Linked DNA regions of Macaca fascicularis. The main gene of each other region encodes a partner of the protein of the gene in region 2 in a complex. Links are inferred from orthologs where the notes say so. Each region holds a gene or a part of one and is shown on either strand. Other genes may lie near its edges. The genes, in order: KDR and VEGFC.

Evidence for each region.
Region 1: the proteins of VEGFC (region 2) and KDR are in contact, whole or in part, in a crystal structure (PDB 2X1W), measured with the Homo sapiens proteins. The link is inferred for Macaca fascicularis from reciprocal best matches to the Homo sapiens genes VEGFC and KDR. Residues at the interface, in NP_005420.1 of Homo sapiens: Thr148, Asn149, Phe151, Lys153, Phe186, Ile188, Val190, Pro191, Leu192, Gln194, Pro196; in NP_002244.1 of Homo sapiens: Val135, Tyr137, Ile215, Val216, Val217, Val218, Asn253, Val254, Gly255, Ile256, Asp257, Phe258, Asn274, Arg275, Asp276, Phe288, Leu289, Ser310, Ser311, Gly312.

Annotation. Positions count from the first base shown.
Region 1 is NC_088379.1:78,789,987-78,793,809, forward strand, and holds part of KDR (vascular endothelial growth factor receptor 2), read left to right. Parts: intron 1-865; coding exon 866-1,022; intron 1,023-1,948; coding exon 1,949-2,072; intron 2,073-2,811; coding exon 2,812-2,920; intron 2,921-3,764; coding exon 3,765-3,823. UniProt on the Homo sapiens protein: Tyrosine-protein kinase that acts as a cell-surface receptor for VEGFA, VEGFC and VEGFD. Plays an essential role in the regulation of angiogenesis, vascular development, vascular permeability, and embryonic hematopoiesis.
Region 2 is NC_088379.1:181,466,827-181,470,649, forward strand, and holds part of VEGFC (vascular endothelial growth factor C), read right to left. Parts: coding exon 3,540-3,823; intron 392-3,539; coding exon 277-391; 3' UTR 1-276. UniProt on the Homo sapiens protein: Growth factor active in angiogenesis, and endothelial cell growth, stimulating their proliferation and migration and also has effects on the permeability of blood vessels.

The DNA.
Region 1 (3,823 bases), about 100 Mb from region 2:
GGAAGTGAGAGAAGGGAGAAGGAAGAAAGGGGAAGAGGGAAAGGGAGTGGAGAGGGAGGGAGGGAGGAAGAGGGAGAGGGAATGAAAGACTCAGATGGTGGTGGCAGTAATGCATTCTCTAAAGATTTATGCCTTCCTTTAACATGAGGTGGTTTACGTGTTTGGGTTCAGAAGTCAGAGTGTCTAGGTTTGTTCCAGGTTTTGCCGTTTGTTAACGGAGTGACCTTGGGCAAGTCATTTTTTTCTGTATTTCATTTTTTCTCGTGTATAAAGCTGAGGATAGTAATAGTGGTTGTGAGGATTAAGTGAATGAATTCATGCAAAGCACTTCAAACAATGCTTGGCACATAATAAATATATTTACTGTGCTATTTCAGCTATTTTCTGTAGCCTTCCCCTGATCTCGTGAACTTGAGAGGGCAGAGAGAACTATCTCTGTAATGCAGATGAGAGGCACAGGATTCCAACACTTGCATAAAGTCATTCAGCTTGTTAGTTTATTAGCTTATTGCCATTTTTATTTTATTTTGTTATTTTATTCAATTTCTTTTTTTTTTTTTGGTAGAGGTGGGGTCTCACCATGTGGCCCAGGCTGGTCTTGATCTCCTGGGATTAAGTGATCCACCTACCTTGCCCTCCCAAAATACTGAGATTACAGGCATGAGCCCCCATGCCTGGCTAGTTGTTATTTTTATGAGTATCACTAGAACTCAGGTCTCTTGTTTCCACATCTAAGTGTTCTTCAAAAAAGGAAGTGGAAGCAAAATCATATGCTTAAAGAAAGTCAGCTTTAGTTGCTGAAATCCTCTATTTCCCATTCTTCAAAGCTGATTGACAATTCAAAGGTCGTTTTTCCTATCTTCAGTCCCACCCCAGATTGGTGAGAAATCTCTGATCTCTCCTGTGGATTCCTACCAGTACGGCACCACTCAAACGCTGACGTGTACGGTCTACGCTATTCCTCCCCCGCATCACATCCACTGGTATTGGCAGTTGGAGGAAGAGTGCCCCAACGAGCCCAGGTGAGTAAGGCCACACGCTCTTTGCTTTCCTGCCGTCTTGCATTTCTTACAGCTGAACTATGATATGACTCCATCCTAAATGGAGAAGCCTAAACCGAAGAAAGTTTTCTCTCAAGAGGTAGCCTGAATCTCCATCCATCTTTCTCTATGTCTTACATTTTAAGGGATGTCTTTGCTTGGAGTATCCTACTTTGGGATAAGCTAAGCTCAGCCTTGTTAGGTTATCCCTGAGGTACACTTCTCCAAACACAGGCTATTTGCTCAGTTTGCTAATTGCCAGTCTTTGGTTTTTTTCCCAATACCAATCAACTGGTGAATATCACATCGCTCCTTCTTGTCTGTGTGAAGATCCATCTCTCAGAGGAAATGCTGATAGATGAGAGGCAGTGATAGACCCAGCCCCAGTCCTCAGGGTCTCAGGCCCAGCTTATCATGCTCTGACACATGTCCAGACATCCTTAGGGAAAAACACAACAGCAGCAGCCAACCCACTACCACCCTAAGCAGTCCACTTCCTGTTGTTGTTTTTGAAATGGCCACTACGAGCTTCTTCCTCAGCTGCTGATCATTTCCTTCACAGAGACTATGGTCCCAGAGAAATTACTTTAAGGAGCCCAGTGGTTTCTAAGTTTCCTTGCCTTCCTTTGAACTAAATTAACTTGAATTGTCTTGTCGATCCAATTTATGAATGAAGGTTTGTTCCCAGAATAGCTGCTTCCCTCCCGTATCCTGAATGAATCTACCTAGAGCCTTTTCCTTCGTAGTCAATGCCTATTTTTAATTGGCGCCAAGTCTTGTACCGTGGTAGGCTGCATTGGAAGTTATTTCTAAGAACAGAATAACCAAAGTCTGAATCTTTTCCTTACTCTTGACTAGAATTAAAGAAAAATTAAATCATAATATGCTCTGTTATCTCTTTCTTATAGCCAAGCTGTCTCAGTGACAAACCCATACCCTTGTGAAGAATGGAGAAGTGTGGAGGACTTCCAGGGAGGAAATAAAATTGAAGTCAATAAAAATCAATTTGCTCTAATTGAAGGAAAAAACAAAGTGAGTTTGAAGTTTTAAAATTTGAAAATCTCTCTTTAACGGAAGGATGCTACAATAATATGTGAAGTATATTGGAGATTAATAATCAAATAGTCTAGGTGATAAAATAATAGCATATTAAGTCACTTTGAAAATACCATAGACTTTTAGCCATACCATTAACTTATTAATAGCTTATTAGAGAAAAATAAAAAGTCTATGACATTAAATCTATGCATCTGTGTAGGGTGATTCTAATTTTATAAGCATGAGAATGAAAAAATGTGTATCATATATTAAAACACATCAATAGTTTCATGGTTTCCAAAGCCCTTTTTATATAATGTGTAAGCTGCACAGCAGCATAATTATACAAATTGAGTAAGTATCCCAAACCTGAAAACCCCAAATCCAAAATGCTTCAAATTCTGAACCTTTTGAGTGCCGACCTGATGCTCAAAGGAAATGCTTGTTTGGATTTTGGATTTTGGATTTTCAGATTAGAGATGCTCAACTGTTAAGTATACAATGCAAATATTCCAAAATCAAGAAAAATCCAAAATCCAAAACACTTTTGGTCCCAAGCATTTTGAATAAGGGATACTCAACCTGTAATTGCATAAATTCAAAAGTGTCCAATCACTGCGGAAGTGGGAATGGCATAGGCAGGTTGGAGTGATTGTGGAGACTGCTGGACTGAGTACTTGTGCACAAACAAGCTGCACTGTTTATGGCCTGAGATTTGTTTTTCCCCCTACAGACTGTAAGTACCCTTGTTATCCAAGCGGCAAATGTGTCAGCTTTGTACAAATGTGAAGCGGTCAACAAAGTCGGGAGAGGAGAGAGGGTGATCTCCTTCCATGTTACCAGTAAGTACTCTTCTCTGGAGGGTTGGGTTGGATCACTCACACAGTGGGTACTAAGCTGTGTAATTCCTGTTGTTTTTGCCATTCATGTGAGTGGCATGGCATTGAGGAAAGAGGATTTGGATTGATCATTGATGCTTTCATTCATAAATTAAAACTCCTCAGGTATCTCCTGGGCTTAAGTCAGTGCTTCTAACTTCACCGCAGAGAGAATGGTTTCACAGATGCTTTAAACCACAAGCTCTGTGTCATTATTTACATCTCAGTCTTCAGAGTCTAGCACAGTGCATGGCTTATTGAGCTTCAGTACATATTGGTGGGCTTGCTGTGGAGCAGTTGATAAGGGTGGGCTTTCTGGAGGCAATCAGAATGACATCGGAGCAGTGCCCTCCCAATGCTGCTGATTCTGCCTGTGCATCTTAGTTTGATGGATAAGCTTTAGCTGATTGTGCTGAATGGAATATTATAGTCAGGGCTAATTCATTGGCATAAATGTAGCTGTCATATCATTGAGTGTTAGTGTTAATGAAGACCTAATTTTTAAAATTCTGTTAGGATTAGAGATTTTGCTTTGGATTTTTAAAATATTAAACATTGCGTAGAGTTCACAGTGGAGATGTGGTAAATATCTGAGGAATTCATTTACATTTTCAAGTAATATGTTTTAGCCAAATAAGATATTTTGGAACCTGAATTGTCTAGTTTGTTTGTCAAGTTGTAGTACATCACCTGGAACTGATAGAGCTTCATTTCTTTTGGTACTTTGTAGTAGTCTGAAAGCAGCAAGATGATAGTGAGCTATACCAAGTTAAATCACCATTCAGTAACAATGGTCTTTACATTTTAGGGGGTCCTGAAATTACTTTGCAACCTGACTTGCAGCCCACTGAACAGGAGAGCGTGTCT
Region 2 (3,823 bases):
TTTTAGTGGAAATAAATTATATAGTTATTCTTTAAAAAAAAAATCACAAGAGAAAAATCTTGGCTGTTTGGTCATTGGTAGAAAACCAGTCTTTACAAGAGGCCTTTTGCAGATGAGCTCCAGTCCGTTTCTGTAAAGTTATCCACATGGTTCAGGAAACACAGACTTTTGTCTTTGTTAGCACGGACCCACAAGGGTCTCTCTGTTCACAGACAGTTCTCCTGTGGCAACAGTTTTCCATAATAGAAAATCGATGAACTGGAAAACAGTGCAGTCTTAGCTCATATGTGGTCTTTTCCAATATGAAGGGACACAACGACACACTTCTTCACTATATGAAAATCCTGGCTCACAAGGCTTCTGGCGGTTCGTACATGGCCGTCTGTAACAGCTAGGAGAACAAAAAAGAACACACTTATGTTAAAGATCAAGGCAGTGGATTCATTATGCTACCAAGGTATTTCAGTGTTTTTATATTTCAGACTAGAACAAAATTACTAATTTTATGATGCAATTGTTCATAGATTTATAAAAGTTTGTTTCTGCTTAGAATGACAACATTTCAGAGGAATGGAAAGGCCTTAAAATAAAAGTCTTGCTTGGTGATATAACAAATGGAAGGAAGGAGGAGGTATTGTAAGCATTAGTTCCTTTGAAGTGCTCTTTGCTTCATGGATGAAAGAAACATAAAACAGAAATTTTGAAAGTGAACATTGAAGGTCTGCTGACTTACTGTGATCACATAAGCATGGCTGAATTCACATGAGTCTGGGACTTGTATGGGACCCAGACTTCCAGGCAATTAAACCAGCCATGTTGGCAGAACTGTGGTCCTCAGTGAGCAGCCCCACCCTCACTCTTGTGTCTCTACTTGGCAGCTGGCTGCATGATGGTGGCTAACTCTTCCTTTCCACCTGGGCTCCAGGTGAAACAGAGGCATTCTGGGGCAGGGAGGTAAGAGGGACAATACTCAGCAGTAGGGTCCCCTTCCTCCCATCCTAGACTGCCGGGTTCTAGTAGCAGAGAGAAGACAAATCACCAACTGGTCAATCTGTCCCCTGCCCCGTTGCTCCAGTGAATTGAGACCTCAGTTTTTGAAATAGAGTCTCGTTCTGTTGCCCAGGCTGGAATGCAGTGGTGCGATCTCGGCTTACTGCAACCTCCGCCTCCTGGGCTCAAGTCATTCTTGTGTCTCAGCCTCTTGAGTAGCTGGGATTACAGGCATGTGCGGCCATGCCTGGCTAACTTTCTGTATTTTTTGTAGAGCCAAGGTTTTGCCATGTTGGCTGGGCTGGTCTTGAACTCCTGGCCTCAAGTGATCTGCCCGCCTTGGCCTCCCAAAGTGCTAGGATTACAGGTGTGAGTCAACACGCCTGGTGAGAATTGGAGCTATTTTTGAAAAACTTTTTGGAGTATGAGCATGCCTAATGTGCGGGAATAGGTGTAAAGGGAAACGTGCAAGATGACCTGAGGTGGAAATCGAAAGTGTGCTACAAAAATCCCTACACAATTTGGTTTTCATATTTCATTTATTTGGCTCTAGAAAAGAAAGCATGTCTAGTTAATTTTTTTAAACTTTGCAAATGCGAATTCATAGTTGTGACTACTGGTATTCCTCTACTAAAAAGGGATATGATACTTAATGATCCATAAAAGCTGTTAATTAAGGCCATGAACCAAAGAATATATACTCTGCCCACTGCACTTTGTAATAAATATTAAGAGAGAATGAGGAGAATATAAATTTTCAAAATATGATATTTTCTCTTTTGCTCCAATTTATATCACAAAGTCTGGAATTACACACTTAGAAAAATGAACATAGGATGAGTTGCAGTAAACAGAAAGCCTTTTTGAAAGAATGTATACTATTAGGAGAAATGCAATGATAGAAATATTGTCTGTGTTCATATAAGAATTCTGTAGAAAAGTATGACAGCTGGTTAGTCTGTATGCAGACATAGGAATTTCAGATTTTTCAATGTATACTAAACTCACTCAAGAATTCAATATAAAACATAGTTTAATAAGGCTTAAAAAGATTGTCTGTATCCTTCTGAAAATACTAGCATATACATTTTTGAAATATCTTTTTGGTTATTACAGTAGGAATATGTAGGTAAAATTGGAATATAGTTCTTTCTAAAAAAGAAATACTTACGATGTACTTTGCAGTATAAGGGAAGAAAAATATAATCAATGAGATAGCTAGATTCACTAAAGCCATTTTATGCAGTAGGTGAAATATTAGTTGAGGAAAATAATCAAAAACATACATTACAATAAAGACACAAAACTCTTGAGAATAAAACGATGAACTCGTTATATACTGTGAAAAAACAATAATGAACATTAGTGAAGATAGTAGTAAATAAATGGAATACGAGCTTTTTTTGCTAAAAAGAACATTATCTTCCCATATGTAAAGAGTGGATGTAAAAGAGTGAAAGTGATTAAGAACAAATGCTCTGAAAATTTAGTATACAAGTAGGAAAGTACAATGTCACATCATAGAAGAGGTGGGCTGGAAGAAAAAGGCCATGGAAAGGACAGGTTACCTAAGGACAAAATTATCTGTTGGATTTGGTAACTGTGAGGCCAATGAAACTTTAAACAGAGGTTTAACATAGCACCGTAGGCCATAAACCAGGTTATAGTTGGTTGAATACATGGCAGATGAAAGAGGTGAAAACAAATGCCTCATTTTTGAGCAGCTTTGAAGAGGACAGAGCTCGGTTGCTAAAGTATGCTCAGCTTCACAGTAACAGGCTAATAAAATAGAAGAAATTTGGGAACTTTTATAAACTGAGGGGGAAAAAAGTAGAGCTGAAGATGTTGAAGTTATAGAAGAAAGAAGGAATGGCATGAAGCAATGTTGAAGGAATGTGGAGAAAATGTCAAATGCACAGGTCTGGCTTAAATAGTAGGATCACCTTATTCTCTGAGATTAAAGAGGAAGAGGTTCAGGGATTAACACTGAATGTGCTTGAGTCCAGTAACTTCATTTTTTTTTTTTTCTTGGTGGAGAAGAGTGCAAAACCAAGTTTAAGAAATGAGGCTTGGGTACCTTTAACAATATATTCATTTATTTCTCTAATTCTATCAAATACTTAGCTTAAATCTTTTCATTTCCAGGTATAATTCTATAGTCAATGGTACTATCCTATCCTTTGTTTGTAAGTTTTGCGTAAAAATTGTCTGCATTTAGAACAGTTGTCCTAAGTGATGTCTGAAAGCATTATACTTTTTGGTGGGGGTGGAGTGGATTGCCTGGATGTATTTTGAAAACATCCCACAGGAGCCACTAATCTAGAGTATATTCGGAACTTGGATTTAGTTTTATCCTCAAGGCTCCCATCTTGCTTTTTTTGGAAGCAAATTCAGTCTCATGCATTGGTTAAAAAAAAATAAGATTTTATCTTTCAGAACTTATTGGCCTCATTCTAACAAGCAATTGCTACTTTGGTTAAGAAAACAGTTTTTAGTTTAGAACATATTTCTAGTAAGAGAAATTAAAACTCTTCATGAGGATCTCTTACCTGCATGTTTGGTGTTGGAACTTCTTTCCTTTTAACAAGCATTTCTGTGGACTTTCTGTACATTCACAGGCACATTTTCCAGGATTTAGGGGGAGATTTCTGGGGCAGGTTCTTTTACATACACACTGGCACGTGTTGTCATCAAATTCTCGGTTGGCCCCACATTGGCTGGGGAAGAGTTTGTTTTTACAGACACACTGGCATGAGTTTCTGTCTAGTTCTTTGTGGGGTCCACAGCTGGCAGGCCGAAGCCCCGCTCTGCAGACACACTGACAGGTCTCTTC